2 linked regions of the Macaca mulatta genome follow. The protein of the gene in region 1 interacts with the protein of each later gene in a pairwise test. Links are inferred from orthologs where the notes say so. Each region holds a gene or a part of one and is shown in the gene's direction. Other genes may lie near its edges.

Region 1 (15,126 bases):
TGTGTTTATAGTGACTGGTGAATTGTCAGACCTCAACCAACCACCATTCTCCACTGGAAGCTGATCTTGGAAAGGTCAGAGGTCCCGAGGGTGCGCAGATGGGAAGGAGGAGACTGACATTTATTGAGCACCTACTTGGTGCCAGACACTGAAAGTATTAAAGATTCAGGGTGACTTGCCTCAGTTCTGGCCCCAAAGGAGCACCATCTGGTAGACACATAAGTAGCAACATGGTATGGTGGAGTCTGGAATGGGGTTTACTGTGAATCGTGTACGGAGTGGCAGAATTCACAGTAAAAGCTTTTTGGAAGAAGTGACACTGTGGTGGGGTATTACTGAGCAAAAGAGAAAAGGAGGGAGGGAGAGGAGGTAAGAATATTCAAGGCTTCACTGGGATACGGGGTGTGTTGTAGGGAGATTGTATTGAATCCCATATTCCCATATTGGAAGAACACTCAAGCCCATTTAGAGTGCAGGACCAATGCTAAGAGAGGCTGAGTCACATTGGCAGGAAAGAGCAGAGCCAGGAACTGAAGCTAGGTCTGTGACTGAGAGCCAGCACTCTCTCCACTGCAGAGGGGAGAAGTCTCAAGGTAGAACCTGGGGCTGTGCACACCGCGGGAGGGGCAGAGGCCCCTGGAAAGGAACAGGAGCAGGAGGCCCAGGGCTGCGCAGCGACCAGGTAGGACACGAGGAAGGTGCTTGTATCACCGGTGGAAGACGTGGCTTTGGCTTTTAGACTCCCCTCGGGGCAGGAGCGGATCATAGAGCCTAGCCCCAGCTTCGGTGGTGGGTGGGGGTCCTCCCGGCAGCGGGGACGTAGACACCAACATCTTCACCCTGCGGCTCCCAGACGAGTGTGGGAGAGCAGAGTCCAGAGAATTGGAGGTTGGGCCAATGTGGGCCCCGCCCCCAACTATTGTGTCGGAGAGGGTAGTGGATGAGCTCCTCGGTAAGAACCAATGAGGATGTGGTATGCAAATAAGCAAGTGGAGGCCGCCAGTCGACTTCCTCGCACTGTATAGCTGCCCCAGTGAGGGCGCAGACTGTACTGGCCTGCGCGGAGCAAGGCGGTGTTTCTGGTGAGTCCGTTGATTCCGGGCTGGGGCGAAAGCCAGGTTGCCCAGGGTTTGGGAGTAGGGAGGGTTAAGCACACGCAGATCCAAAGATGATCGGAGACAGGATGGTCCTCGGCGATTCCATCCCGATGACTCTGGGAACTGCCTGCCTGCAGACGCATGAGGGCCATGGAGCAGAGGAAGGGCTGGATGCATGAAGGACACGGGGTGCGGGCAGCAAGGGAACCGCAGATTCCAGGGCCACAGATGTGTGGACCTATTGGAGACCCTCACGTTGTCTCCCCAGCCCGCGCAGAGAGGAATGCGCAGCTGAAGAGAGAGGTGGGCAGCAGGCTCGGTCACCTGCCAGGTGACCACATGGCCAGGTGCCGCCACCACTCGGGCTACGTGGCTGACGATGAGGCCAGCCACTCCATGTGCAGTGCACGAGTAAGTGTGCCCAGCAGGACCCCGACCCTTAAGGCCACAACATGTTCCCCGCCAACCCTGACACCCAAGACCACAGCCCCCATTTCTCATTGTCTATTGACCTGCTCTGTGGGCCTCTTAGCTGAGTCCTTATTGCCTTGACTTCTCCTATGACTCCCCTGCTTGCCCCTGTCACACTCAATTTCATTCCTTGTTTCCTTCTGACTTCCAGCGACCTGGAAGGTGCTTGGGTGAACTGGGACCCTAGAGTGGGAACTGGGAGTTGACTAGGTGCCTAGGGCTCAAGTTGGAGAAACAGCCCTGGGTAGCACAGGGCTCAAGACCTCAGCTATTGTCTGCACTCAAGACCTCAGGTGTTGTTTGCAGCCCTGCCATGGAGACAGGGATGGCCTGCTGCATGGACAGATGAGGAGCTGGAGGGAGACTCCAAGAGGTTCATGATTGCTCATCCTGCCATGTATCAGGGCAGAAGCAGGCTAAGTCCCTTAGCCAGGACTTGTGTGTGTGAAATGTAGGTGTTAGGAAAGCTTCAGGGCGACCCTGAATAGACCTCCACTTTGCAGATAAGGAAATTGGACCTCAAGAGGGGCCATCTTGCACACTGTCATCAGGCTGTAGGTGGCAGAGCCAGGGTCCAAATCCAGGGCCTCCAGACTTCAAAATGCAGCTCCTTCCACTACTCACTCTCACTCAGGTCCTAGTGTTACCCTAGGAAGACCCCAGGGAGCCCTTCACCTGTAGGGCACCCATGCCCACTGTGACATACCTGTCTGCTCAGGTGCAGCTACCCAAGAAGCCACTGGTTCCAGAGATGGGGCCAGCCTCCAAGCCGGGCCATGTGCCACACCCACCATCCACATGTGGCAGCTCAGCGCTCCAGAACCAACGCCGAAACAAGAGGCACCCTCAGCCCTTTAGCCACTTTCTGGATTTCCTGACTGAGAGCCATGTCCTGGACAGCCTGGAGACAGTGGTGGAGAAGGCGACTGAGCGCATGGCTGCCATGAAGACCGAGGCTGGGGTGCCGCTTGTGGAGGTGCAGGACCCAGTGGAGGTGCCAAGTGGTGGGCGGCGGGCACATGCCCGGCCCAGCCTCAGCACTGTACACCGGCACCGTGTACGGCCGACCCTCTGCACTGGACACCCCAACAACTACCCATCCAGCTCCAGCTCCATGTCCGACTCCCATAGCAGCCTCATGGCTGGCTGGCTGGGCTCCCACAGCCGGGACAGTGACCTAGGTGCCCAAGGTTTAGGCTCACTGCCACCTGTGAAGGACAAACTCCTGCTGGAGAAGAATCTCAAGCGGCTGCTACAGCTGGAGAAGAAAGGGGTGAGAGCCGGGGCCATGGCTGGGTGGGGTGGACTCCCACGGAGAGCCCAGGGCCAGGGTCAGCCCTGGCTTGGCTGCTCCTGAACACTTCTCAGAGTCACCCTCTTTCTGCAGAAAGGCCTCAGTCAGTCCTGCTCCAAGAGGGACTCCCTGCTGTGGGATTTGCTGGGCAGCCAGACCAGCTTTCAGTGGACCCAGGAGCAGCCCCTGTCCTGGTTCTCGGAGCTGCTGGGCTCAAGCTCTGGTGTGCCTGAAGCATCAGAGCCGAGGCCTGGAGAACAGGAGCCGATCTGCAAACGAGAGTTCAATAAAGAGATCAAGTCGTTACTGAGCCAGCTGGAGTCCCTCGACCTGCCTGGCTACTGTCCGCTCCGTGAGCCCCATCGCACACTGAACTTCCTGGCTGACCACCGCCTCTTCCCTGCCCTGCAGAGCGTCGTCAACCAGGCTGTGGATAAGCTCCGCGGCGCCCGCTGCCGCGACGGCCGTCCTCTGTTCCCCACCAGCTTGGAGCCCCCCTCAGAGCTGCAGGTTCAACGCAATCTGCCGCCGCTGGGCTCTGAGCCGGCTAAACCCACCAACAGCGGGCAGCCCCACCCCACAGTCTCCAGCCCCAAGACGCCTCAGAGAAAACACAAGGACAGAGGAGGCTCCCCCTCCATGTCTAGTGCCCAGGTGGCCACCAGATTCAAGCTCAAGGTGACACCCATGGAGAAGCCCGATGTCCCCAGCCCCTCACTCCACTCCAGGGAGAAGGAGCCTGACTCAGATCCCAAATTACAAAACCCACCTGTTTCCCTGAGCTCCAGACAGAGGGCCCAGCCCTGGCGGGGCCTGCACCTCACCCTGCCCGCGCCCGGGATAGTGGTGGAGGTGGCCTGCGGCCAGGGCCACCTCAGGGTTGTCACACCTCCACTTGCCTGCCCCTACCCCCGCTCTTCCTGCTACCTTCTCCCTGAGCTCTCCCCAGTTGCTTCCTCATCTCCCTCCTCACTGTGTCCAGAGGTGACCTCCTCGAAGGTAGGACCGGACATGAGTTTGCAGGAGAAAGGCTCCTTGACCCGCCACTCCTAGCAGCCACTATCACTGGCAGGTGCTCAAGGTCAAGGTTTCTTGCCCTGCACTGTGGAAACCTCCTGGGCAGGGGTCAAGCTGATGGGGGCCCGTGAATCCTGGCCTAGCTACTACCAGGTGTTGTCACAGATAAATAAAGGCTATTTATTTATGCTGGGTATTTTTGCTAACGTTTCTATGTGAATCTAGAGACGCTCCTATGTGGGAGTGGAGGGTCCCGTCCCTTGTGGACAGAAGCACTAGCCTGGCCGGGGCCTTGCCTCCTAGGTCTAGTTCCCTTGAATCCAGCTGCCTCCAGCAGGACTCTCCAGTCTCTGGACTTTGCCGAGGGAAAGTTGACCAGGCAGGATGTGCACAAGACGTAGGTGGCCTCACACTCGTGGATCTCCAGCATGGTCCCTCGACCCTTTCCTCGGCCATCAAGGCTCCTGCAGGCATCTCTCTGGGCAGGCCTGGGCGGAAGCCTGCCCAAACCCAGTTGTCAAAGCTCAGATTAACCTCACCCTGTGACAGTTCTCTGCCCTTGCCCCAGGCCCAACAGGTGTAGGAGGTGTGATGGTGAGGTGAGCATGAGAGTGGGCAGTTGAGTGCATCAGCATAGCAGATGTGGCAAAGCTGTACCCTTCGTGTGACAAGTGTGTTTGTCACACGAAGTGTACCCATTCATGTTTGCGATGGGCAGGGCTGGCAGGGCTCTGAGGAGGGCACAGTGGCTGGAAGGGGTGTCACAGAGGGATGGGGCTGGCAGATGTGACATGTGTTCCTTTCCCTCCCCGGCTGCTATGCAGAGCCCCCGCAGCAGTGGCAGGTTCACAAAGAAGAAGCCGCTGCCCTCCATCTCATCGAAGTCCAGCATGTCTCACTTCTCCAACCGCCTTTATGAGGAGCTCGCCGACTTCCTGACCCAGCAGGCAGCCTCCCTGCTCATCCGCAAGTATGAGTTTGAAAAGGACCTCAGTAAGCAGCTGGGCTTCTTCTCCTTTCCTGTCACCCAAGTGCTCAGGGACCTTTCCCTGGGCTTAAAGAAGGTGAAAGGCTCCCGCATCCAGCTGTCCTCGGAGACCCACCGGAGCTGCCTGCTGCGTAAACTGGAGGAGGCCAAAAGGGCCCGGCAGACCTCCCGGCTCAGCACCCCCCACCGCAGCACAGAGACACCCTCTGTGCAGCAGGAACCGGCCACCCACACTGCCCAGGACCAGGCCACAGAGCCCTGCCGCTCCATTTACACTAACTTGCCAGCCAGCCGGCAGCTCAGCCCATTGGAGCCCAAGCTCTCAGTGTCCGCTGGCACCGGCATGGGTTCCAGTCTCCCCAAGTCCAAGGACACGGACAGTGAAGGCCATGATGAGGCCGAGGTTGAAGATGAAGATGAGGATGAGTACAAGGATGAGGACCAGGATGAGGACAAGGAGGAGGATGGAGTCCAGAGCCTCCCAGAACCTGGAGAGGAGGCCTCGGTCAGCCACTCTGTGGACGTGGGCCATAGTGACCCACCATGAAGTCCCCACTAGCCACTCGATTCCCTGCTCTGTCAGAGTTGCTGCCCATCACACCAGCCCCTGCCATGAGCAGAGTCACCACAGGCTGAATGCCCACGAGGAGCTCTGCTGAGACTCTCAGGGGAGCCAGCGAAAGAAATAGAAATAAAGCCTGTGTTGCTGGGACACAGGTTTGTTGTCCTGAGATTTCAGCCGCCATTTTATTTATTTACTTATTCGTTTACTTATATTTAAGATGAAGTCTTGGCTGGGCTCATGCCTGTAATCCCAACACTTTGAGAGGCTGACGTGGACAGATCACTTGAGGCCAGGAGTTGGAGACCAGCCTGGCCAACACGGTGAAACTCTGTCTCTACTAAATACAAAAATTAGCCAGGTGTGGTGGCAGGTACCTGTAATCCCAGCTACTTGGGAGGCTGAGGCGGGAGAATGGCTTTAACCTGGGGAAGCAGAGGTTGCAGTGAGCCGAGATTGCACCACTGCACTCCAGCCTGGGCAACAGAGTGAAACTGTGTCTAAAAAAAAAAAAAAAAAAAAAAAAGTCTTGCTGTGTCTTCCAGGCTGAAGTGCAGTGGCATGATCTTAGTTCATGGCAACCTCCACTTCCTGGCTTTAAACAATTCTGTCCCCTCAGCCTCCTGAGTTGCTGGGACTACAGACGCCCGCCACCATGCCCAGCTAATTTTTGTATTTTTAGTAGAGACGGGATTTCACCATGTTGGCCAGGGTGGTCTCGAATTCCTGACCTCAAGTGATCCACCAACCTCTGCATCCCAAAGTGCAGGGATTACAGGCATGAGCCACCACGCCTGGCCACTAATTTTTTATGTATTTTTAGTAGAGATGGGGTTTCACTATGTTGGACAGGCTGGTCTTGAACTCCTGACCTCAGTTGGTCTGCCTGCTTCAGCCTCCCAAAGTGCTGGCATTACACGCATGAACTACCGCACCCGGCTTTTATTTTTATTTTTATTTTTATTTTTTGAGACAGAGTCTCACTCTGTTGCCCAGGCTGGAGTGCCTTGGTGCGATCCTGGCTCACCACAACCTCTACCTCCCAGGTTCAAGGGATTCTCCTGCCTCAGCCTCCTGAGTAGCTGGGACTACAGGCGTGTGCCACCATGCCGGGCTAAATTTTTTTTTTTTTTTCTTTTTGAGACGGAGTCTTGCTCTGTCGCCCAGGCTGGAGTGCAGTGGCACGATCTCTGCTCACTGCAAGCTCCGCCTTCTGGGTTCATGCCATTCTCCTGCCTCAGCCTCCCAAGTGGCTGGGACTACAGGCGCCCGCCACCGTGCCCAGCTAATTTTTTTGTATTTTTAGTAGAGATGGGGTTTCACCGTGTTAGCCAGGATGGTCTCGATCTCCTGACCTTGTAATCCACCTGCCTCAGCCTCCCAAAGTGCTGGGATTACAGGCATGAGCCACTGCGCCCGGCCAATTTTGTATTTTTAGTAGAGACAGGGTTTCACTATATTGGCCAGGCTGGTCTCCAACTCCTGGGCTCAAGTGATCCTCCCGCCTTGGCCTGCCAAAGCACTGGGATTACCGGCATGAGCCACCATGCCCCGCCCAACACTGGAGTTTGGAGGCTCAGTGGGGCAGTGGTGTACACTGGAGTTGCTTATGTGACTGCTTTCAGCTGCTCACTGAACTGAGGCCAGAACATTCCAGGGTCCCTCTCTATGTGGCTTTTTACCACGCAGTAATCTGGCACTTCATTATCGCAAGGTGCATTGTCTAGCTTCCTAGAAGGATGAAGCCAGACCTGCCAGAGTTCTTATGGCCGGTGCTCAGAAGTCCCCAAACAGCACTTCTTCGGCATTCGATTGGTCAGAACAAGTTGCGCTACCTACCCAGATTCAAGGAAAGAGGAAATGAACTACGTATCTTTGGCTTACGGGGATGGGAGGAATTGTGAGTATTTGGAGACTAGTTACCACCCTTCCTCCTCTCCACAGCTGATTGTACCTTTAGCAGTCCTTGGGCCCAAGTTGAGCCAATCAGATTCTCTCTTGAGAACCTGAACCTTAAGACAAATTATGGTTAGTAGGTGGAGGGCATTGGAGAGGCCATAATCAGCCCTGAGGAGCTGCCCATAGGGTGAGCAGGGGAAGGCAGTCTGCAGCAGGAGGCTGGAGAAGGGAACAGCAAAGAGAGGCCATGAGGCTCCCCGTGAGAGTCAAGGGAGTGCTACATTGGCTTCCCCACTCTAGGTCTGGTATCTCAGCCTACTTAGAATCCTGTCTTGCTTGTCAGGAAGATCGCCTGCTGTGTCCTCACCCTCCTGTGGTCCTAAATGCAACTGGGAAATGGCTGGCAGCTTCTAGCAGGGAACTGGCATGATCTTTTGATCTATGCTTTTACCACTTTCTTTTGAGACGAAGTCTTACTTTATTGCCCAGGATGGAGGACAATGGTGTGATCTTGGCTCACTGCAACCTCTGCCTCCTGGGTTCAAGCGATTCTCCCACCTCAACCTTCTGAGCAGCTGGGATTACAGGCACATGAGACCACGCCTGGCTAATTTTTGCATTTTTAGCAGAGACAGGGTTTCGCCATGTTGGTCAGGCTGGTCTTGAAGTCCTGACCTCAGGTGATCTGCCTGCCTCATCTTCCCAAAGTGCTGGGGAGTCACCGTGCCCAGCTGCTTTTACCACTTTCCTGTGTAGAAAGAATGCTTTGGAGGGGCCAGCATCATAATGGAAGCAGCTAGACCTGTTAGGAGGCAGTGGTCAATATCTAAATGGGAGATGGAGGGGCTTGGGTTAGAACTGTGATGGGGACTCAGGAGAGATGCCTTGAAATGTGATTTGGAATGACAGCCATAAAGACACGTTGAGTGGGCTGGGCATGGTGGCTCACGCCTGTAATCTTTTTTTTTTTTTTTTTTCTGAGACGGAGTTTCGCTCTTGTCGCCTAGGCTGGAGTGCAATGGCATGATCTTGGTTCACCACAACCTCCACCTCCTAGGTTCAAGCGATTCTCCTACCTCAGCCTCCCAAGTAGCTGGGATTACAGGCATGCGCCACCATGCCCAGCCCACTCAACACGTCTTTATGGCTCTGATTTAGTAGAGATAGGGTTTCTCCATGTTGGCTGGGCTGGTCTTGAATTCCTGACCTCAGGTGATCTGCCCACCTCGGCCTCCCAAAGTGCTGGGATTGCAGGCGTGAGCCACCGGGCCCAGCCTATGCCTGTAATCTTAACACTTTGGAAGGCCGAGGCGGGTGGATAACCTGAGGTCAGGAGTTCAAGACCAGCCAGGCCAACATGGTGAAAACCCGTCTCTACTAAAAACACAAAAGTTAGCCGGGTGTGGTGGTACTGGGTACCTGCCTTAATCCCATTAGCTGGGTACATGCCTGTAATCCCAGCTATTCAGGGGACTGAGGCAGGATAATCGCTTGAACCCGGGAGGCAGAGGTTGCAGCAGTGAGCTGAGATTGCGCCACTGCACTCCAGCCTGAGCGACAGAGCAAGACTCTGTCTCAAAAAAAAGAAAAAAAAAAAAGGAAAAAAAAAGAGTTGTTAAATGAGGCACATGTGGAGACTCAAAAGTTAAAAAACTAACTAAATAAATAAAGGCTGGGAGTGATGGTGGTGGCTCACGCCTGTAATCCCAGCACTTTGGGAGGATGAGGCAGGTGGATCACCTGAGGTCAGAAGTTCGAGACCAGCCTGGTCAACATGGTGAAACTCTGTCTCTACTAAAAATACAAAAGAATTAGCTGGGCATGGTGATGCATGACTGTAATCCCAGATACTCAGGAGGCTGAGGCAGGAGAATCTCTTGAACCCGTGAGGCGGAGGTTGCAGTGAGCCGAGATCACGCCATTGCACTCCAGCCTGGGTAACAACAGCAAAACTCCATCTCAAAAGAAAAGAAAAAAAAAAAAGACTTGTTGAATGAGATGTGAGGAGCAACAAGGTAAAGAGATGAATGAAAGAAGAATCCCAAGTTTTGGGCCTGAATGGAGGTGCCATTTACTGAGACTCAGAGGCCTGGGGGAGGGGCAGTTTGAGGGCAGAGACCAGGAATTCTGCTTTGCATGTGTTGATTTTGAGGTGATGGCTGACATGTCCAAGAGTATATATCCGTTGCCTCTCAGATAGTACTTCAGATCTTCCACCCTAGACTGGAAACCCCTCAAGTGCAGTGACTACCAAATCCAGGGTAGACTGACCTTTAACTGTTTGGACACCTAAATGCTGAAAAGATCAAGGTGACTTATACTACATGTAACTCAAAATAAAAACAATATGAAACATGAAACCCCCAAAATAACATGTTGCTGTAATGAAAATCGCTTTACTCTGGATTTTCTGAATGCAAAATTCTGGACGATTTAATTAAATATGAACTTTTGTCTCTGCTTTGCCTGTGCTTCAACTACACCTTAGCCTCTTGAGCCCAGAGCTGTTTCCTCTGTGACCCCACAGGATCTGGAGTGAAGCCGCTGCAACAATGTCCCATGAATGAATAAACAGTGGTATAAGTTTTCCTCCCTTTGAAGGTTGAGCTGACAACACTCTGAGAAGGCGGCAAAAGGGAGACCTACTCATGGCCAGGAGACTGGGACACAGTCACCCAGGCTTGGTTCCCACAGCCCCTTGGTCTCCTTGGACTCTGGTTTCCTAAGACAGCTCTGGGGCTTTCTGGTGGGAAGCTGCCATTATTCTCGACGCCACAGCTCCCTGCTGCCCTCTCCTGCCCGATGACCCAGTGACCACAAGATTTAGCCACGAAAGGAGTCAAATGTATAAGTGGCCAGGGGAATTCAGAAACCCCAGGGTCTAGGGACTGTGGTGACCCAGTGTCAGAGAGGCGGCTAGGGCCGAATGACTGGGGGTTTCATTAATCTCGGGGTCCAGGGACTGAAGGACCAGACGATTCAGTGATTCTGGGATCTGTCGACTTTGTGACCACAAAATCTAGTGATCCAACAGCCTCAAGACCCTGCAGTTGTGGTCCCAGGTTCTGAGGGGAGAGACTAATTACTGAGTGCCCAGGAGTCCAGGATCAAGGGGCGTCGTGAACACGTGCCTGCAGGGTGCTAGGATCCTGAGCTGGTATCCAGGCACTCAGCGGCTGCGGGGCTCGGACTCGGCGTCCTCACCAAGCGCTCCCGCTCATTCTCCGCCGCTTGGCTACTCAGCCGCCCTTCCCTGGACACTCATTGGAAAGTCCTCGGAAGCGTGTACCAATCAAAACCCTCCTCGTGTCTCCAGTCCCCGCCCAGCTACTGCTCTAGCGAGACGGGGGCGGGCCCTCTCCTCAATGACCCAATGGCAGTGCAAGCGGAGTGCCGCGCGGGCCGACCATTGGCTGCCGCGAGCGGGCGCTGTCAGAACTGGATTGGGCCGCGGCGAGGACGGAAGCAGCCCTAGTGCCGGAGCGGCTGGAGCCGGGCCGGGGCGATGTGGAGCGCGGGCCGCGGCGGGTCTGCCGGGCCGGTGCTGTTGGGGCTGCTGCTGGCGCTCTTAGTGCCGGGCGGTAGTGCCGCCAAGACTGGCGCGGGGCTCGTGACCTGCGGGTCGGTGCTGAAGCTGCTCAATACGCACCACCGGGTGCGGCTGCACTCGCACGACATCAAATACGGATCCGGTGCGTGTGACCTGCGACTGAGAGAGCGCGGGGATCGGGGGCTTGGGGTTGGGAGTGTGGAGACAGGGTGGTCGTGGGGGTCTGTGGGCCATCTCGAAGCCGGGCGGCGGAGGCTCTAGAGTCGTTGGGGGGTCGAGGGGCGCAAGGCTTTGAGGGTGTCGAGGATATTGAGGGTGGGGACGGTCGTCGGGGAACTGCAGGCCCAAAGACTGAGGAGGGTGTCAGGCGGGGGCCGGGGCTGGGGGTGAGCCCCTTGGGGTCCCCTGGGAAATGTTATGGTCCCAGGGCGAGGGTCCGGGGTTCTGCGATTGACGGAGACCCTGGGTGAGTGGGGTGTCACTCCTCAGGCAGCGGCCAGCAATCGGTGACCGGCGTGGAGGCGTCGGACGACGCCAATAGCTACTGGCGGATCCGCGGCGGTTCGGAAGGCGGGTGCCCGCGTGGGTCCCCGGTGCGCTGCGGGCAGGCAGTGCGGCTCACGCATGTGCTTACAGGCAAGAACCTACACACGCACCACTTCCCGTCACCGCTGTCCAACAACCAGGTGAGCCCCTCCCGGAGCCCCCAGAGAGATTCCTGGCCTGTGTGAGGGGCCAGAGATCCTGGGTTCCAATCCGAGCCTCAGCTTCTTCGTGAAATGGAAATTTCACTTCAGAGATGGTTATTGAGCACCCCTTCGGGGGAAACAGAGTAACTCCGCCAAGATCCTGCCCCCAGGTGCTCCCGGCCCGGCAGGGAGACCGATGGGAGAGAGATCCGAAGAGATCCTCCTGGATAGCTCTTCCTCTGGGGGCAAGTGGGACCCAGGAGGAGAATCCACACAGCCTTGAGGGTGGGGAATAGGAAACTCCACTGGGGAGGAGGAACTCAGGCTGGGTCTGAAAGGATGATTAGGAGTCCTCCAAGCCACAAAGGGAAAAGAAGGACTTCCCAGGCCAGCAGAAGAGATTGCACCAATGCATGGAGGTCAGTGGAATTCAGGGGATTGGGATGGAACAGTGGGTGCCCTTGGAGAGTTGGTGGAAGAAAATGTTTGAGATAGATAGACAGCTTGACTGCTAGCCTGAGGGGCTGAAGGTAGGTCAGAGGGATTAGGACTGGGAGAATGTGGAGGAGGAGGCCTTAGCTCTGTGGGGACCAGTAGTCTCTGCACAGACAGATGCAATGGTGTGTGCACGTGTCTGAAGAGCCCATGCTGGGGAGGGAGTGCCAGAGGTTGCGCGGGCGGGTCATGGTGTCACCTTTTGCAGCTGTGGGAGCTGAGTCTCCAGGAAGGGCAGGGAAGGATCCTAGGCTCAGTGTAGGTACGAATGCCGCCTTCTGTGGTGACCACTGTCCCCTCACCCTCTGCACCTATAGGAGGTGAGTGCCTTTGGGGAAGACGGCGAGGGTGACGACCTGGACCTATGGACAGTGCGCTGCTCTGGACAGCACTGGGAGCGTGAGGCTGCTGTGCGCTTCCAGCACGTGGGCACCTCTGTGTTCCTGTCAGTCACGGGTGAGCAGTATGGAAGCCCCATCCGTGGGCAGCATGAGGTCCACGGCATGCCCAGTGCCAACACGCACAATACATGGAAGGCCATGGAAGGCATCTTCATCAAGCCTAGTGTGGAGCCCTCTGCAGGTCACGATGAACTCTGAGTGTGGGATGGATGAATGGGTGGATAGAAGGTGGGGTGTCTGCAGGGCCACTCTTGGCAGAGACTTTGGGTTTGTAGGGGTCCTCAAGTGCCTTTGTGATTAAAGAATGTTGGTCTATGATTGTGTTTCACTGTGAACCTGAGGATGACCAGGAGCTGCCAGCCCAGGCCCAGTTGATCATCTCTTCCTCAGTGTAAAACCTGTCTCCATCCCAGCGTGACTGCTGAACCTGTCCAAACCCTTTATTATTATTATTATTCTTGGTTTTTCGGGGGGTTTTGCTTTTTTTTTTCTTTTGAGGCGAACTCTCGCTCTTGTCCCCCAGGCTGGAGCGCAATGGTGCAATCTCAACTCACTGCAACCTCTGTCCCCCGGGTTCAAGTGATTCTCCTGCCTCAGCCTCCTGAGTAGCTGGGATTACAGGCATCTGCCACCATACCCGGTTAATTTTTGTATTTTTTTTTTTTAAGTAGAGACGGGGTTTCACCATGTTGGCCAGGCTGGTCTCGAACTTCCTACCTCAGGTGATATGCCCACCTCAGCCTCCCAAAGTGCTGGGATTACAGACATGAACCACCACGCACGGCCTGGGTTTTGCTTTTTTAGAGATGGTCTCACTCTGTTGCCCAGTCTAGAGTGCAGTGGCATGATCATGGCTTGCTGTAAACTTAAACTCCTGGGCTCAAGTGATCTTTCCACTTCAGCCTCCTGAGTAGCTGGGACTACAGGCACACACCACCATGCCCAGCTAATTATTATTTCTGATGAGACAGAGTCTTGCTCTGTCATCCAGGCTGGAGTACAGTGGCAGTGATCATAGCTCACTGCATCCTGGGCTCAAGTGATTTTCCTACCTCAGCCTCCCAAGTAGCTGGGACTACAGGCATGTGCCACCATGCCTGGCTAATTTTTTTATTTCATTTTTTTGAGACAACGTCTTGCTCTGTCGCCAGGCTGGAATGCAGTGGCAGATCTCTGCTACTGCAAACTCTGCCTCCCAGGTTCAAGTGATTCTCCTGCCTTAGCCTCCTGAGTAGCTGGGATTACAGGCATGCGCCACGACGCCCAGCTAACGTTTGCATTTTTAGTAGAGACGGGGTTTCACCGTGTTGGCCAGGCTGGTCTTGAACTCCCAACCTCAAGTGATCCGCCCACCTTGGCCTCCCAAAGTGCTGGGATTATAGGCCTGAACCACTGTGTCCACTCCCCCTGGCTAATTTTTAAAATTGTTTTAGTAGAGACAAGGTCTCATTGTATTGCTCTGGCTGGTCTCAAATTCCTGAGCTCAAATGATCCTTCCACCTTTGCTCCCATAAAGTGCTGGGATTACAGTTGTATTACTTTTATTTTGAGACAGGGTCTTACTATTTTGCCCTGGCCAGACTCGAACTGCATAGTTCAAGCCTCCTCCTGACTCAGTCTCTCAAGTGGCTGGGATTACAGGCGAGTGTCACTGTGCAATCTAAACCTTTTCAGTGGTCTTCCATGTACTCCAGTGCTGCCCTGGGCATCCCCCTGTCCACCCTCAGGCGATCTGATGGCAAGTGACCCCAGTTCCCTGTTCCCCAGCCCCTTAGCTTTATGAACCTTCCTGTTAAGGGCCAAGGCCAGACCTCAGAGCAGGATGGATGGCAGCCCCACTCCCTGTCAGCTGGGATGAGGCACAAGCTCTCCAGCTCCCTCATCCCTAGATGTGAAGAGCTCACTCTCCTGTCAGTTGTGGCAGTCTTGACACCTGTATTTGACCAAGAGACAGATGAGGATTCTGCCCATCCACTGGAAAGTAGCATCACAGTTTCCCTCACTCGGTGCAAATGGCACCTCACCCACCCTAGCCTGCCTAGGCACATGGCATCTCAGGCCCCCACCATGACCTTTGAAAGTATCAGTGAGATAACAGAACTACAGAAGATACTGCAAGGGAAGGCAGCCGCGTACAACTGCTACCTGCAGAGATCTGAGAAGACTTCCTGGAAGAGTAAGCACAATTTGGGCAGGCCAGAGTATGGTACCTTTAAGGCAGGAACAGATTAAATAGGAGAGCCCTAATAAAGGAAGATCACTGTTAGCTTTGCTGGTGTGTGGGTGGCCTCTAGCGGTTACGGCAGAGATTACAGGCTTCCTGGACTTGGTAACTCAGCTGGGCAGCTGTGGGTTGGCTTAGGACACAGGAGCTACCGAGTATAATGGTTGGCTTCCCTGAAGCAGAACAAAAGAGCCCAAGGAGAGAGGCCAGGGGTGGCAACTGACTGGAAGAGGCTCGGAGTAGTGTGGACAGAGCACCCTGCATTGGATAAATCAATTGACCTTTCATGGTTTTTTTTGGTTTGTTTTTGTTTTTGAGGCAATGTCTCTGTTGCCCAGGCTAGAGTGAAGTGGTGCGATCTCGGTTCACTGCAACCTCCACCTCGCAGGTTTAAATGATCTTCCCACCTCAGCCTCCGGAGTAGCTGGGACTATAGGCA
Region 2 (16,402 bases), on another chromosome or scaffold:
AAAATATCAGTTTTAGTAGTATTCTAAAATAAAGTGTAGCTTATCCTCGTATCCACCTAATTTACTGTAGAATACTTGAAAAATGTGGAAAGTCATAAATTGGAAGATTTATGATTTGTACTTATCACCCATCAGCAAAAGAGCCAAAACTTTGGGTGCTGAGATAGCCAACACTGAGATCACTAAAGGACAGGCTTATCTGGGTCTGTCAACTAGAGGGTTCACATGTAGCATATTCAACATGGCCATCCCAGGGCTTCAAAAGCAAATGTTTCCTGTAAATAAGGGTGAAGCTGTATGATGTTTTATGATTTGGCCTTGTAATTCATATAGCATCAGTTTTACTCTAGTCTACCCTATTGATTGAAACTGTCATAAGCCCTCTTCTAAGATTTAAGAGGAGGGACAGAAGACTAAGATTGACAGATGGCAATCATAGACAAAATATTCAAATATTTCCTTAGATGTTTATGCACAATATGTATAAACCTAGAAGGTAAACAAATAAATAAAATTGGCCAAGTTCTATGGACTGAATGTTTCTGTACCCCCAAACTTCATATGTTGAAGCTTAATACCCAGTGTGATGGTATTTGGAGGTGGAGTCTGTGAAAAGCAATTAGATCATGAGAGTGGAGCCCTCATGAATGGGATTAGTGCTCCTATAAGAAGAGACATGAGAGAGTTTGCTTCCCCTCTTTCTGTTCTCAATTATGTGATGTTACAAGGAAAATTAACATCTGCAAAACAGAAAGTGGGTCCTCATCAGACATCGGATCTACCGACATCTTGATCTTGCACCAGAACTGTAAGAAGTAAAGGTTTGTTGTTTAAACCACTCAGCTGCTATTTTGTTATAGCAGCCCAAACTGACTAAGACACTAAGAAAACAAACAAGTGAAAAAGATTTCTTTCCTGGGAGTTAGTAGATCTAACAAAGCTATCTCTATATCTACTTCTACCACTACCCTCTTTGGTAACCTGGGCAAGCACCTTAATTTTTCTGGGTCTCAGTTTCTCAATTTGAATAATAGGACCCTTGTACTAAAATATTTCTAAGGTTGTTTTGGTTTTCATAGTACACAATCTGTGAAGGCCTAGTACTTGAGATCATAAACCCTACCCTATAAATCCAAAATTAGGCAAAGGCATAGAAAACACAGCTATAAAATCCACTGTTCTATAAGCCTACTAATCCATTCTTTTGGCCTCACAGTTTATTTTATTATTCTATTTCCTATATCCTAGCCCTCAGAGACAATGGGCTTGAAGAACATACAATAACCTGGGACATAGCCTGTTGGGCGTCCAAAGCAGATGGTTTGTGACAAAAGTTTGTCTAGGCATGTTGACAGACTTCAGTCTTTCTTCCTGAGATATGAGTGTAGTTAATGAAAGCTCAGGGAAGGGACCAGAGGTAATTGTTTTCTTCTTTAATGAATCTGGACTTTAGATAAATAAGGGAACTTCAGAAAACAACTTCATCCTGTGCTTTGGGAAAGACAGAGGATTGAGAGTCAGGAAGTGTGTGGGAAAGGTCAGACGGACCTTGAGGCTTCCTCTTCAGTTCAGCATGTCAAAGCACCATATCTTGGGGTATCAGTTTCTGAGCCCCAACATTACTCAATATAATGGAAGGTCTTTGACAACAGGGCCCTTGTCTATCCTGTTTCCTCCTGCATCCTTAGTACCTAAAACAGCAATTTGCACATGATAAATGCTCAACTATTATTTGTTAAAAAATAAATTTTTTATTGGCCATGTTTATTTCTTTTGTAAACTACTTATTCATATCCATTTCTCATTTTCCCATTGGTATGTTCATTTTTTTATCATTAATTTGTAAGGGCTCTTTAAATATAGTGGATGTTAACTTTCTTTTTCTTTCACATATTTTTGGTTTCCTAGGATGGCTGTAACAAAGTATCACAAACTGGGTGGCTTAAAACAACAAAAATGTGTCCTCTCATGGCTCTGGAAGCTAGAATCTCAAAATCAAGGAGTCAGCAAAGCCATGCTTCCTCAGAGACTTTGGGTAGAGTCTTTTCTTGTTCCTTCCTAGCTTTTAGTCATGGTTGTCCATACTTGGCATTCTTTGGCTTGAAGCTGCATCACTACAGTCTCTGCCTCTGTCCTTGGATTGGTTTTCCTCTTCTTATAAGGACACCAGTCATATTGTATTAGGGCCCAGCTTAATGACATCACCTTAATTTGAGTATATTTTCAAAGGCTCTGTTTCCAAATGACGTCACAATCAGAGGTTATAAGGCTTAGGACTTCAATATATATTTTGGGGGGACACAATTCAACCCACAGCACATATGGTATAAATATATTTCTCCCGTTTATTCTCTGTCTTTTAAATTTGTGTGAAAAATCAGGTCCCCTGGCCAGGCGCAGTGGCTCACACCTGTAATCCCAGCACTCTGGGAGGCCGAGGCGGGCGGATCACAAGGTCAGGAGATCGAGACCATCCTGGCTAACACGGTGAAACCCCGTCTCTACTGAAAGATAGAAAAAATTAGCCGGGTGTGGTGGTGGGCGCCTGTAGTCTCAGCTACTCGGGAGGCTGAGGCAGGAGAATGGCGTGAACCTAGGAGGCGGAGGTTGCACTGAGCTGACATCATGCCACTGCACTCCAGCCTGGGTGACAAAGCGAGACTCCATCTCAAAAAAAAAGAAAGAAAGAAAGAAAGAAAGAGAGAGAGAGAGAGAGAGAGAGAGAGAGAGAGAGAGAGAAAGAAAGAAAGAAAGAAAGAAAGAAAGAAAGAAAGAAAGAAAGAAAGAAAGAAAGAAAAGAAAGAAAGAAAGAAAGAAAGAAAGAAAGAAAGAAAGAAAGAAAGAAAGAAAAAAATCAGGTTCCCTTTGTTGCACTGTGTACTAGCAATGGAACTTACATGGGAGTAATAACAGTGAAATAAGAAAAAGTGACTTCATGAACGTTTAGGCACGAGTTTTGTTACTCCTCAAAGTTCATCCCTAAGTCCAGGGAAAAGTAAGAAAGGTGCTTGCCTCGGCCTGAATCTAGAAGGGCCAAAGGAGTTCTCTTGGCCTACACATAGTCCAGCTAATGTCATCAGTTTAGGAGACTGTATAGGGCAGAGCTCCTTTTCCACCAGAGTCCTAAACGACAGGAAAGAGTGGCCATGGGTCTCTGGTGTCTCAAGATATTATCTGCAATCCATGAAATAAAGAAAAGAATAGCCCTCAGTTCTCCAATAGATAATGAGGCGCTGAGTATTTGCTGCTTTCACGTTCAGACATCTTCGTCTCATAGCCCTTTTATTTTTTCAGACTAGATACCTTGAATTAAATATGTTATCTCCCAAATCATCGAAACTCTTACAGGGACACCCTTAAAATTTCATCAGATTCATTCCACATTTTGGAAATCTTGGCATCAAAGTTAACAACGGCCATAACTTAGAGGAAAGCTGGAGTAGGCATAATTTCCTATATTCTTAATACCTAGTTTCAGTCTGTAATCAGTGCGTAAATTTAGAGAGAAAGAGAGAATCACAATAAAAGAATATCAATAAAGCATCAGAGAGGTACATAGAGAACCTATTCTGGGCAGGAACAGAGATACTCGTACCCATAGGGCCCACTAGGGCTCAGACTACCTTCTCCGAAGCCTAGCATTCACACAGGAGAAATAATGAGAGGAAAATAGGACAACAACCACAGCCCAACGGGGTGCATTTCAGACAAGTACATGTGAGCCATATTATGGCAATACACATAAAGATTTCAGCAAAAACGAGCTTCCTCTGATGGGATACTAATACAATAGAGGGATCTTCACTAGTTGAGGTCAAATCATGAAACAGTTTTATTTTTCCAATAACTGTATCAGCAGTGTTCTATCACCCCCTCCCCCATTTCACACGGGGTAATGGGCTTCTTTAACTACATTTCTGTCCAGTTCTTCAACTTTTCAGTCACTATTGCTTATTAAAATAGTTTCAGTCAGATTAAAGATTTGGTTCTATTGATTTTCAAATGCCAATCTCACTTTTCATTCTGAGTCCTCCTGGTCCCTCCAGGGCAGATTAGAATTGAGGCTCCTGGGTTTGAAACATGTGTAAAATGTGTGTGTGGATAAGAACCATCTAATCAGTTCACCTTCTCTTTGCCCTTTGGGACACATGAATCCCAAATGCAGAATATAGTGTCCTTCTAACTTGGCCTTGAAAAAATTTCTGCTTTTGTTCTCAACAGTGTGCTATCTATTTCCAACTCCTCAGAAAACTCCAAGGTCAAGAAAACATCTCAATCAACTCCTATTCACAACATTTTAGTAAAGATAACAGCATTTCCAGGACAATTTTCACCTATCTTTAAAACATTACTTTATTACAACTAATCTTCTTTTTTTTTTTTTTGAGACGGAGTCTCGCTCTGTCGCCCAGGCTGGAGTGCAGTGGCGCGATCTCAGCTCACTGCAAGCTCCGCCTCCCGGGTTTACGCCATTCTCCTGCCTCAGCCTCCCGAGTAGCTGGGACTACAGGCGCCTGCCACCTCGCCCGGCTAGTTTTTTGTATTTTTTTTAGTGGAGACGGGGTTTCACCGTGTTAGCCAGGATGGTCTCGATCTCCTGACCTTGTGATCCGCCCGTCTCGGCCTCCCAAAGTGCTGGGATTACAGGCTTGAGCCACCGCGCCCGGCACTAATCTTCTATATAGCATAATATCCAATCTGGATGTTACAAACAAATGTCTGTTTTCATCCAAGGAAATTTGGTGGTTTTGAACAAAGGATTTATCCAAGATAGGTCAAAAGAAAAAAAGCAAAGCACTTAGCCACCAAAAGAAATAAAAATCCACTTGCTAAACTTTATATCCAATAGTCACATCACAGTGGCTTCTCAGCTTTCAGGAGATTTTTTTCTAGGTAATTCTTAATTTTCACAAAAGCTTTTCTGTATTGCTCTAAATACAGTCCCCAGAATGAAAAACAACCAATTTGCCTCAGTACTGGATACACTCATTCAACAAATACTCAGTAATCACCTATTTGGTGCAAGGAACACTATTAGTCACTGGGTATGCAAAATAGAACACAGCAAGCATGTTTTGGGCCCTGATGGATTTTAAGAACAAGTGGGTCTAGGTAAGGAAAGAATCATACTCTGCTACTCTTCAAATCATGTTAGAAACCATCTCATAACGATAAAAATAATGTCAACAAAAATTGATGACTTACTAGGCTATGTAGTAAATTATTGTTATGTGTAATTCTAACAATCCTTGTTTCACAGAGGAAGCACACAGACCTTGATAAGTAATTGATCCAAAGTCGAACATCAAGTAAACAACCTACCGAATTTGAAACCAGAATTGTCTGATACTACTGTTCATGCTTTGAAACTGCATCATTCCAGCTGATATCATTAATATAGCAATCTGTATAAAAAGTTCTTAACTGTGAGACAGAATCCAGGAATCACTAATATTTCTTTAAAAGACAAATATTGAGTGTGATTTTATAATTTGATGTTTTGGAGTAATGTACTAATATATCTATATACTTCTAGAAGAATATATATGTAATTTTATATGGAATTTATATTTCCAAAACCTCTAACTACATATGCATTGGGCATATACTCTTCCTTTATTCACTGTGTCATCTGGTTTGGCAGGGCAGGAAATTCTATAGGAGTCTGGGGCCAAAACTAGAGTTAGTAAACATTTGTCTGGCTTATCTTGCCTCAGTGCTGCATTTTATGCTTTTGGTTCCTGATCATAAACAACAGATACTAAATTTTTTTATAACAATGCCACTTTCCTAAAGATATCTCCATTTTCTAGCTGTGATAATTTTTTAAAAAATGATTTCAAGTTGGAGAAAGGAACATTTGCACTCAGGATGAGGTTCAGTCTCAAGTTAAGTTGTTGCACACATCCCCTGCTTTTTTCTAATATATTTTTAAACATTCGCACCAAAGGGTAGATGGTTTTGAAACTAATTTCTGCATAATATGTACTTAACTTCTGAACTCGTACTAAAAAGATATTTGTAGGGGTGGTTTGAAAGGTTTGGAAAGGAAAGCAGGGAATAAAAGACTCCCTTTCTCTGATGACTGTGGTATCAAAAACATCAAAGTTACATAAAATGGTGAAGATCTGACGACCGGACTGCTCCCTGAAGATTTACTTTACAGATCATTTTGAAAACACTAACTGTGTTCAGAAAGAGTGCCGCCTTTTTATAATTTTTTATTTTTATTATTTATTTATTTTTTTTTTTTTTTTTTGAGACAGAGTCTCGCTCTGCGGCCCAGGCTAAAGTGCAGTAGTGCGATCCCGGCTCACTGCAACCACCGCCTCCCGGGATCAAGCGATTCTCCTGCCTCAGCCTCCCGAGTAGCTGGGACTACAGGCACACGCCACCATGCCCGGCTATTTTTTTGGTATTTTTAGTAGAGATGGGGTTTCACCATGTTAGCCAGGATGGTCTCGATCTCCTCACCTCGTGATCCGCCCGCCTTGGCCTCCCAAAGTGCTGGATTACAAGCGTGAGCCACCACGCCCGGCCAAAAATAAAATTTTAAACGAGCTAGTATGTATCAAAAGTAATGGTTTGATGTTGTGTGGAGCCCAGAGAAAATATTTCGTGTGGCACAAGTCAACATAAACAATGACAGAGATTTCATTCTGCAGGATAAAGCATTTCCTTTTTTTTTTTTCTTTTCGTTTTTTTTTGACAGGTTCTCGCACTGTTGCCCAGGCTAGAGTGGTGTGATCCCGGCTCACTGCAACCTCCGCCTCTCGGGTTCAAGCGATTCTCCTGCCTCAGCCTCCCGAGTAGCTGGGATTACAGGCGCCCACCACCACGCCCAGCTAATTTTTGTATTTTCAGTAGAGACGGGGTCTCACCATGTTGGCCAGGCTGGTCTCGCACTACTGGCCTCAAGTGATCCGCCCGCCTCGGCCTCCCAAAGTGCTGGGATTACAGGTACGCCACCGCACCTGGCCAGCATTTCTTTCAAAATTAAAAACTTATAATTTATAATTTTCGGAAGCATGCAGATTTTTTAAGGAAATAAAAAGAAATATATACAGCCCACTCCACTTCCTTGCCCCTCTTTCTGACAAGTGCCCTCCTGCCTCACCACCTTAGCCATCACTCTAAATTTTCTAGAATGGTAGGACTTCAGGGGCTACGTGGGCATTGATGGCTGTGCACACGCAAGGGGCAGGAGTGGGAGTGCAGCGCAAAGCATGTTGCCAGGTAGAAGAGGAGAGAAAGCAGAAAAGGCCAAAACCAAGGCCTGAAGTGAGAGGGGGCGGTGGTGGATGATGCAGACCCTCCCTGGTAACCAGAGGAGGGCAAACTCCAACCGCAGAGCAGTGATGCCACTTGTGGGCCCTCAGATTGGAGAGGACCGAGAAGAGTGACAGGGCTGTGCGCTCTGGGGCACTTCACGCAGACGGGAGTAGGGAGGCTGTTTTTTGCGCGTGCATATGGCGGTGGGGGGGAAGGGGGATCCTGCTGCACTGGCCGCCCAAGTTGGGGGGCGAGCTCGGTGGTGACGCGCGGCCCTCACGTGACCCAGAGCTGCAGAGCGACGCAGCCTTCGGTGCAGTCGTCACTCGCGTCTGTCTACCAGCTCCCCGCTGCCCTGAGCTCGGCGGGCTGGCATCCGGCCCGGGAAAAAGCGGAGCAGGTAAGGGCCCCGGGGCCCGCGCGCCCCGGCCATGCCAGCAGCGGCTGACCGACCCCGGCAACGGGCGCAGAACAGCGCAGGGGTCCCCGCCAGTTTTCTCCACACTCCAACATGCTTGGGAACATAGAGGCCCCCAAGGGTGGGGAAGCAGGGGCGGCTGGGTTTCCAGGGGCGGCAGAGCCACCAAGAGCGATGGAAAACCACCCCCGAGTCCCTGCAGGAAAACGGGGAACACCGCGGGGGGCGGGGCGGCCGAGGGTGGGGTGGGAGCGGGGGGTGGGAGACGCGGGGCGCTGGCGCGAGGGGAGCCCGGGCCCAGGGCAGGGAAAGGGCCGGCGGCGGCTGGTCCTCACTAGCGTGTCGCTGCAGCAGCCCCCACTCCCCCCACCCCGGCCCGACTGCAGGTCTGCGAGGCTAAGTGTCCCCGCGGCGCACCTAGCAGCGAGAATCCGGAGGAGGAGGAAACTGCAAGGATAGGCCCAGGTCGGTTCGAGGGACGGTGGTGGGGCGGGGGTCGGAACGTGAGGAAAGCCCAGTCTGAGACCCCAACCCCCTCCACCCCATCCCCCACTCCTATACCGGTCCTCCATTTTGGTGCCTGCGAAGCTCTGGGAAAGAATCCTGGGAAAGGAAAAATGGTGGGTTTGGGGGAAGGGAGGTAAGGGGAGAAAGCTGGAGGGAGGGGCTCTAATTGGAGGCCCCCTAGAGGACGCACGGAACTTCCAACTTAGGAAAAAATGAAATGAAAAAATCCTTTGATATCAGGGTTCTGAATCCTGCTGGTCAGTGCACCAAGCATTCAGTCTCTCTCCTTGCCTTTGTCTTACTTGTGTTCAAAGAAAAACAACCAGAAAAAAAATCTCATCATGGCAAATATTCACCAGGAAAACGAAGAGATGGAGCAGCCTATGCAGAATGGAGAGGAAGACCGCCCTTTGGGAGGAGGTGAAGGCCACCAGCCTGCAGGAAATCGACGGGGACAGGCGCGCCGACTTGCCCCTAATTTTCGATGGGCCATACCCAATAGGCAGATCAATGATGGGATGGGTGGAGATGGAGATGATATGGAAATATTCATGGAGGAGATGAGAGAAATCAGGAGAAAACTTAGGGAGCTGCAGTTGAGGAATTGTCTGCGTATCCTTATGGGGGAGCTCTCTAATCACCATGACCATCATGATGAATTTTGCCTTATGCCTTGACTCCTGCCATTTATCATGAGATTAATACTGTGATTCCCGCTGTTTTCTTTTTCCTTGCATTTTCCTAATATGCCTTTACTGATCCGTTTGCTGTGAACCCTGTTATTTCCATGTGTCAAGTGGGTCTTGTGTTGCCAGCTTCTATTTGGAAATTGCCTTTGCACTCAGTCTAAGTTTCTGTCAGCAGTAGTTTCACCCATTTGCATGGAAAAATTTAAAGCTAATAAAGCAATTTAAAAAGCAATCTATACATTTATTGTCTCATTAAAAATGTATACTTACATATAACAGATGAACTAAAAAAAAATCTGAGATTAAATACACTAGAGTGTTAATTGGGGCACATTTCTGTGTGATAACTAATCCCAGCACTTTGGGAGGCTGAGGTAGGCGGATCACGAGGTCAGCAGATCGAGACCATCCTGGCTAACACGGAGAAACCCTGTCTCTACTGAAAAAAAAAAATACAAAAAATTAGCCGGTCATGGTGGCACACGCCTGTAGTCCCAGCTACTCGGGAGGCCGAGGCAGGAGAATGCTTGAACCCAGAAGGCAGAGGTTGCAGTGAGCCGAGATCACGTCGCTGCACTCCAGCCTGGGCGACAGAGCATGACTCAGTCAAAAAAAAAAAAAAAATGATATGTGACATTTTTTCCTTTTATTTTCTGGAGTTTGAGAAGCAATGAAAATTATTTTTCAATGAGATTATGAATGTAGTGCAGATACATAACAATACTGGCTCAACAAATTTGAAGAGTAAACTAAGTATCCTTCAGTCTTAACTGAAATAATAAACCTTCCCTTTATTACAGATACATTCCTTTAAAGAGCCCGTTTTCTGCTCTGTGAAATGGGGAACAATGCTTGTCTTACAGGGCTGCTGAGTGGAACTGATGAAATGTGGAACTGTGTTGGGCTGACTTCTGTTCCCAACTCCCCAACATTTAACAGGACCGGGACCCCCATCAGGTACTTAGGGAGGACTGGAGGAATTATCACTCATGTTTCCAAGTCCAGACAGTGAAAATAGGTGGGTTCCCCCATGTCATTCTTGTTATTTGCAATCCTCCTGCTCCCCTGATTACTTATTAATAATAAATTCTTAATTGGCCACACTTTCCTTTCTGCTGGATCCTGTTTCTGTTGCTGTTGATGAGGTGCTAGGGTCTTCAAGGTAACAAAGCCCCACTGATTTCTCTGGAGTATCTCGTGAGCCAAATCCCCATTTGACCTCTATAGAATTGTGGAGAATGTCTTTATAACTTGAGTTATGTTTATCCCGGTGAGTACAACTCTTGTGGTTCTTGGGGTTACATTGGTTCTTAGAAAAATAGCCCTTTCTGGTTTTCTTTCATAACTCCTTCAAATAACTCAGACAAGAGTGCACTGGTAACTAGCTCAGGAAATGCATCTAAGTGTGCCCTGAATTGCATTACTGCAAACCTCCACAATACAAACAGGCTGAAGGCTTTATTTGTGCCTGTGTTTCTATCCTTGACATGGATTTTCTCAAAGGAGGCTTTTGGCAGGCCTGCCCACCCAGTTTAACAGACTTACCCAGACCTGTAAGTTAATTGGGGGAACACATTTTCTTTAAAGCGGAAACACACTCCCTTCTTGTCCATACCTGAACCATGAAACTACTTTGTAAGTTCTTAAAAACTATATTAAGTATTTGGTATTGTTATTTCTTTGTGAGTGTGTGCCCTTTTCTCCAGACAGTTTCTGGTATGGTGCCCGACATAGTAGATATGAAATTACTAATATTTTGATTGATTAGTTAACTAAGATAGAGTTAGAAATCCAGCTCAAAACTGTCCCTAACTCACTATCCTTAACTAAGGGGCCAAAGGCAAGTAACTAGTTATGTGGAAAGCATTACATTGTTTCCAAAGGAACATAGCAAGGAAAGTTTCTAACTCAAATTCTGTAAACTTTTTTTTAAACCTTGTATATGTTAGTGTTTAGGGAAACATAGACCCCTTACTTGAATCACAATCACCTAGGGAAAGTGTTAAAAATGATGACAGCTGGGTGCTATTCCCACCCACTACCAGCCACTGTCACCACCTGAATCACCAGAATCAGGAATTACTATTTTGACAGTTTCCCAAGTGATTCTCACACATCTGAGTTTTGACAACATAGGCATAGAGAAACATTGACAGTAATTACACCATTTTACAAATATCGTGATCCAAATTACCTTACTTAGTTGATTCCACAAAGAATATACGTTTCCAAAGTACAGCATTCCAAAATCAGACTACATTAGACCATCAATGTATGTTTATACTTAAACCAGTACTGTTTTATCCTCTTTTCAAATATCCTATTAAACTAATACCTTATCATGAGTTTATTATTAATAATAAATGTATAATAATTATGAAATTATTAAATAAATTATGCATTATCATTTCTATGCCAACCTGTGCCCTTTCACAACAATGATTTTGTCTTAATCTCCCTGGAACTCAGTTTCTAGCACAGTGCCTAGTATAGTAGATGTTTCATAGCATAATAATTCATTTAATTAATTCATTTACTAATTAATTATTAAATTATTTTAGGATTATAGTTTATCTAAAACAATATATAACAACATTTTTGAGCCTGTGTTTTTTTTAATACTTTCGTATTTTAAAAGTTTCTATAAAGAACATTTTAAAATGTTAATACTTTTTATAATTATTTATATAATGTCATCATACATATTTGGATCATGAATATAGGGAAAATATAAACAAAACCATAATCCAGTCATCCAAAGATACCATTCGTAAGTTTTTTAATCTTCATCTTATATTTTATCATGATAAAGCTAGGCTTAGAGCCTCTTGTGAGGAACACTGCCTCTTTCAAAGCCCCTGCCAAAGAAATATATTTAGCTTGCCATGTTTGTTACTGTTTTTCTAATCTCTCCTCTCCACTTATCAAAGCTGATTGACTCACATTTGATCAGCTTTCGGTTAGTTAGCTCTTGATTTTCAAAACTCAAACCATCACATTTCAGAAGTCCACTCACAGTGATGTAATGTAGTCCAATTTTGAAATGTATTTTTGTAAATTTAGAAATATAAAGTAAATATATTTATTTACTAGAACAGGACAGAACTATTTATTTACGAAACTTAAAAATTGTCTTAGAAGTAGAAAAAGTTTTGGGTTTCATAAATGAAATGGGCAAAATTCCACGTCTACTCTTTCTCCTTTCCTGACATCACATATATTATATAGTAAATATACTGATTTTGTTTAGAAAGGTCCAATTTTTAAATTTTCAGAAAGATAGCATGTTATGTAGTTGATATTTCATGTGTAACCAGCTGGAATGCTTTCTAAGTGATATAACTCTACATAACCCAATAAATATGGCATCCCTATAAACTTGAAAATCTAATTAAAAAAAAAGTTTGCCAGACATTTGAAAAGTCACAATTGGCATGTTTAGAAATTTACTCTGATGGAAAATATTTTCTATTTAATAAAAATAAACTTTGCTGAGTTTCATATGAAGAGAGAAATCTTCAGATGTATGCCCATTTTAAAAAATCGTTTTCACACAAATGAACTTTGTGTTTCTGACTGTAAAGTAATGCATTTTTGTTGTTGCTTTGAGCAGAAGAAAAACTGTATTAAGAAAGTTTTAAAATATTTTCTTCAACACCTTCTTTTCCTAAGATCACATGAGTATCAATTAATTTTAAGTTGTTGTCTATTTTTTCCCTAAATTAATGCATATTACTTAGTTCGTAATTAAAATTTGGTTTTTAAAAGAGGAAGCAAACTAATGTGTCAGTTATTAAAAGAGTGGAAAATTTGTTGAAAAAGAATAATGAATTTCAAACTAGTTCTGGATCCTTTAGCTGATTATGTAAACTTAGTAGTTATTGCCATGGTAACGCATTAGTGTTTACTATACTCATTGGTAAAATGGAGATGATAATTTCCAGGGCTGCTGTGAGACCCAAAGGAGGTAAAGGGCATGTGAGTGAACGGTGTTGGGTGACTTCATGTTTTCACCTGTACATTCAGAATCCAAGTACCTCAGATCCCCTTCAGCTGCTCGGAGTGGTAGCCAAACTATGTCACAGTCCCACTCCATCCCTCAGCTATGATGACCCACCCACTCCTCCCAGTTCTGCACTCTCCACTGGTCTTGATCACTACAGATTTCTCTAGACACCTCAACGTGTTAATGTCCCAGTTTATATCCTACAGAGGTGTGCATAAAGACCTACTTGAATTACAGTTGTGCTAGTTTTGGTGGGTACTGTCTTAGTGATGCTTGGACCATGGTATGTTTTATATTTTTAGCAAAAGAGGCCTTTTTCTCAGCTTGTATTTGTGGTTATAGGATATTAGGGGCCTAGTCTTGCTTTTTTATCCACTCCGACAATCTCCGTCATGTAATTAGAGGGCTAAGACAATTTCCATTTCAAGTGACTATCAATATGGTTGTCACACAACCACAATGTTCTGTTAATTTTTCAGTCTTTTCTCTCTGTGTCTCATTTCAAATGGTTTCTTTTGCTATGTCTTCAGGTATACTATTCTTCTACAATGTGTAATCTGCCATTAACTTCATCTAGTATATTTTTTCATTTCAGACATTGTAGATTTTATCTCTAGATGTTTAATTTGAGCCTTTTAAATATTTTTTTATATTCCATGTCTCCACTAAACTTGTTCACTCTTTCCTGTAGCTTCTTGACCACATGCAATGAAGTTCTAATTATCTGCTTTTATGTCCTTATATAATTCTACCATCGTTGTCATTTCTGGGTCAGTTTTGATTGGTTGCTTTTTCTCTCATGATGATTTTTATTTTCCTGTTTCTTTGTAGGCTCTTGATTGGATGTCAGACATTGTAAGTTTCACCTATTGAGTGCTGGGTATTTTCGTATCCCTGGAGTTATATTAATTTGTATTCTGGAAAACAGTTTTTGTAAAGTTTGGTCTTTTAGATTCTTGCTTTAAAACTTTGTAAGAAAGGATTAGTGTTGTATTTAGAGTTAATCGTTCCCCACTAATGAGGAAAATTCTTTCTGAGTACTCTATCTGATGTCCTGTGAATTATGAGGTTTCCAATTCTGGCTAGTGGGAACATGCGCTGTTCCCAAACATGTGTGAACTTAAGGAATTATTTCCTTTAATCCTTTTTGGTAGATCATTTCCTGATCTGGGGTAGTTTTCCTACAGATATGTGATGATCAGAGTGATCAGTACTAGTTAAAATAATTGGCAGGCCATTAGACTGAGGTGACTCTAGCAAACTAGAGTTTCTATGTAAGCAAATTGAAACCCAACTCATAGTGAATGGTCATAGCCTAGGAAAATAAAATGTAAGCATAACCAATTAAAAACTGCCAACTAACCTCTAACTAGAGACTTCACCCATCAAAAGCTGCCTATTAACCACTAACTAGAAACCTTTCACTTTTAAAAATCAAATGTTTTCTTTGTTTTGCTTTAGAAAACATTTTACAAAAGTTTTTCCCTCATATGCCCCCTTGGTGGAACACTGAACCACCTGCAGTTTGGCGTTGCTCTGTTCATGAATAAACTCAGCTCAAATAAACTCTTCAAAGTTTTAATGTGCCTAAGTTTATTATTTAACAGTACTCAGGTAAATATTCAAGAGTGGCTCTCCATGGATCTCTGGAATTCCTTCTCTGTGCGGCTCTTTCCTTTTTGGGACACAGCCCTGTGAACTCCAGCTTCCTTGCCCTCCTTGGACTCCCAACTTCTTATTCTAAGCTCTGGGATACCATGGGGTTTTGCCTGGATTCCTGCTTGTTGCACTGCGACCTGAAAACTTTCTTCAGGAAATAAGCTGGGGCAATCATAAGAATAACCTCATTTGTTCCCAGTTTCTCAGGGATCACTAAACATTGTTGCCTGCTGTCGAAGGTCTTGAGAACAGCTTGTTCTTGTATTTCATCCAACTTTTTAGTTGTTTTATGTGGGAGAAAAATTCCATCTGTCTAGGAGCAGAAATTCTGTTATGCCTTAGGTAAATGTTCTGTTTTTGTTTGTTTGTTTGTTTTTGAGATGGGGTCTTGCTCTGTTGCCCAGCCTGGAGTGCAGTGGCATGATCATAGCTCACTACATCCTCAATCTCCCCAGCTCAAGCAATTCTGCACCCTCAACCTTACAAGTAGCTGGGAACACAGATGTGCACCACCACACCCAGCTAATTTTTTTTTTTTTTTTTTTTAGTAGAGACGAGGTATTGCTATGTTACACAGGTTGTCTTGAACTCCTGAGCTCAAGCAGTCCTAACACCTTGGCCTCCCAAAGTGCTGGGATCACAGGTATAAGCCCCCATGCCAACCTTGAATAAATGTTTAATGTGGCCATTATGACTCTGTGGGGATCCTCAAATCCTTAGCCCAGTTCTGCCCTTCACTAAAGAACAGCAGGCAAGTCACTTCATTTCTCTAGAAGCAAAGACTTGCATTTCCCACAGCAAATTTAATTTGACACAGCAAATTAAAAATGAAAAAAAATTAGCATTGTATTATAAAAGAAACATTACACTGGATTCTTGTTTTTAAAAAAACAGCAAGGAAGACTTTATTCAAGACTCTTGCAAGATGGGAGAGAGATTGAACTCTGTTCCAAATACTACTGAGACAGTTGGGATTTTATGGCCACTGGGAAACGTGAGGGAGAGGGTGAAAACTACTAAGAAATTTGGTTAGTTATCAGAGGAAGGGGAGGAACTTGAATAGACATCAAAAGTGGCGGAAGAAGAGCTTGATTGGATGGCAAAGGTGGGAGGATTCTTGATAAACTGACTGAGCAGGATTATTTGCTAAAACTGGGCTCAGTTGGCAAAAGAGAAGGCCTAGTTGAAAAAAAAAAAAAAAGGCTCAAAGAAGCCTGACTAAAGTTTTGGTCTAGGAGAAAGGAGTCCATGTCAGTATGCATTGGTGATTTTTGAAGCATTTCACACAGACTGCCTGCTTCACAATCTCTTGTCTTTCTTGTTAACAACATAGAATTTGTCACCCTTCCGTAATATTACATGATTCAAATATACTCCTAACTGGGTCCCAAAACATATGTTATTATCATGCTCCCCTGAAAGATTCTAATGCACACTAATACTGGAGAACGACTGGTAGTACAATGGAAGCACAATTATATTGAGTACAAATATGCCTAGAGAAAGACTGTAAGAAAATGTGTCAAAATGCTAGAGAACCTAGCAATGCATATATCATGGGATCTAAATTATCCTATTCTATGTTAGGATTTATTTTTGAAAAATTTTCAACATTTCTAACCTTGGGATACATCATAAACTAGATGAGATAGTTTTATCTTTCTCAGAAAAGTGTTTCTGTTCACTATCTCCATGAGATTAATTTTGTTAGCTCTCTCATAAAAGTGAGAATATATGACATTTGTCTTTTCATGTGTGCCTTATTTCACTTAACATAACGTCTTCTAGTTCCATCCATGTTGTCACAAATCATTGGATTTCATTGTTTTTATGGTGGAATAATATTCCACT

The links.
Region 2: the proteins of CCDC116 (region 1) and BEX3 interact in binary tests that used the Homo sapiens proteins (3 or more experiments, as listed by UniProt). The two-hybrid records come from large-scale screens. The link is inferred for Macaca mulatta from reciprocal best matches to the Homo sapiens genes CCDC116 and BEX3.

Annotation. Positions count from the first base shown.
Region 1 is NC_133415.1:31,350,932-31,366,057, reverse strand, and holds CCDC116 (coiled-coil domain-containing protein 116), read left to right. Parts: upstream 1-1,146; 5' UTR 1,147-1,238; coding exon 1,239-1,508; intron 1,509-2,286; coding exon 2,287-2,841; intron 2,842-2,955; coding exon 2,956-3,540; intron 3,541-4,703; coding exon 4,704-5,414; 3' UTR 5,415-5,596; downstream 5,597-15,126.
Region 2 is NC_133426.1:110,012,390-110,028,791, forward strand, and holds BEX3 (protein BEX3), read left to right. Parts: upstream 1-7,573; 5' UTR 7,574-7,672; intron 7,673-8,076; exon of another isoform or gene 8,077-8,155; intron 8,156-8,511; exon of another isoform or gene 8,512-8,538; coding exon of another isoform or gene 8,539-8,568; coding exon 8,569-8,874; 3' UTR 8,875-9,209; downstream 9,210-16,402. UniProt on the Homo sapiens protein: May be a signaling adapter molecule involved in NGFR/p75NTR-mediated apoptosis induced by NGF. Plays a role in zinc-triggered neuronal death.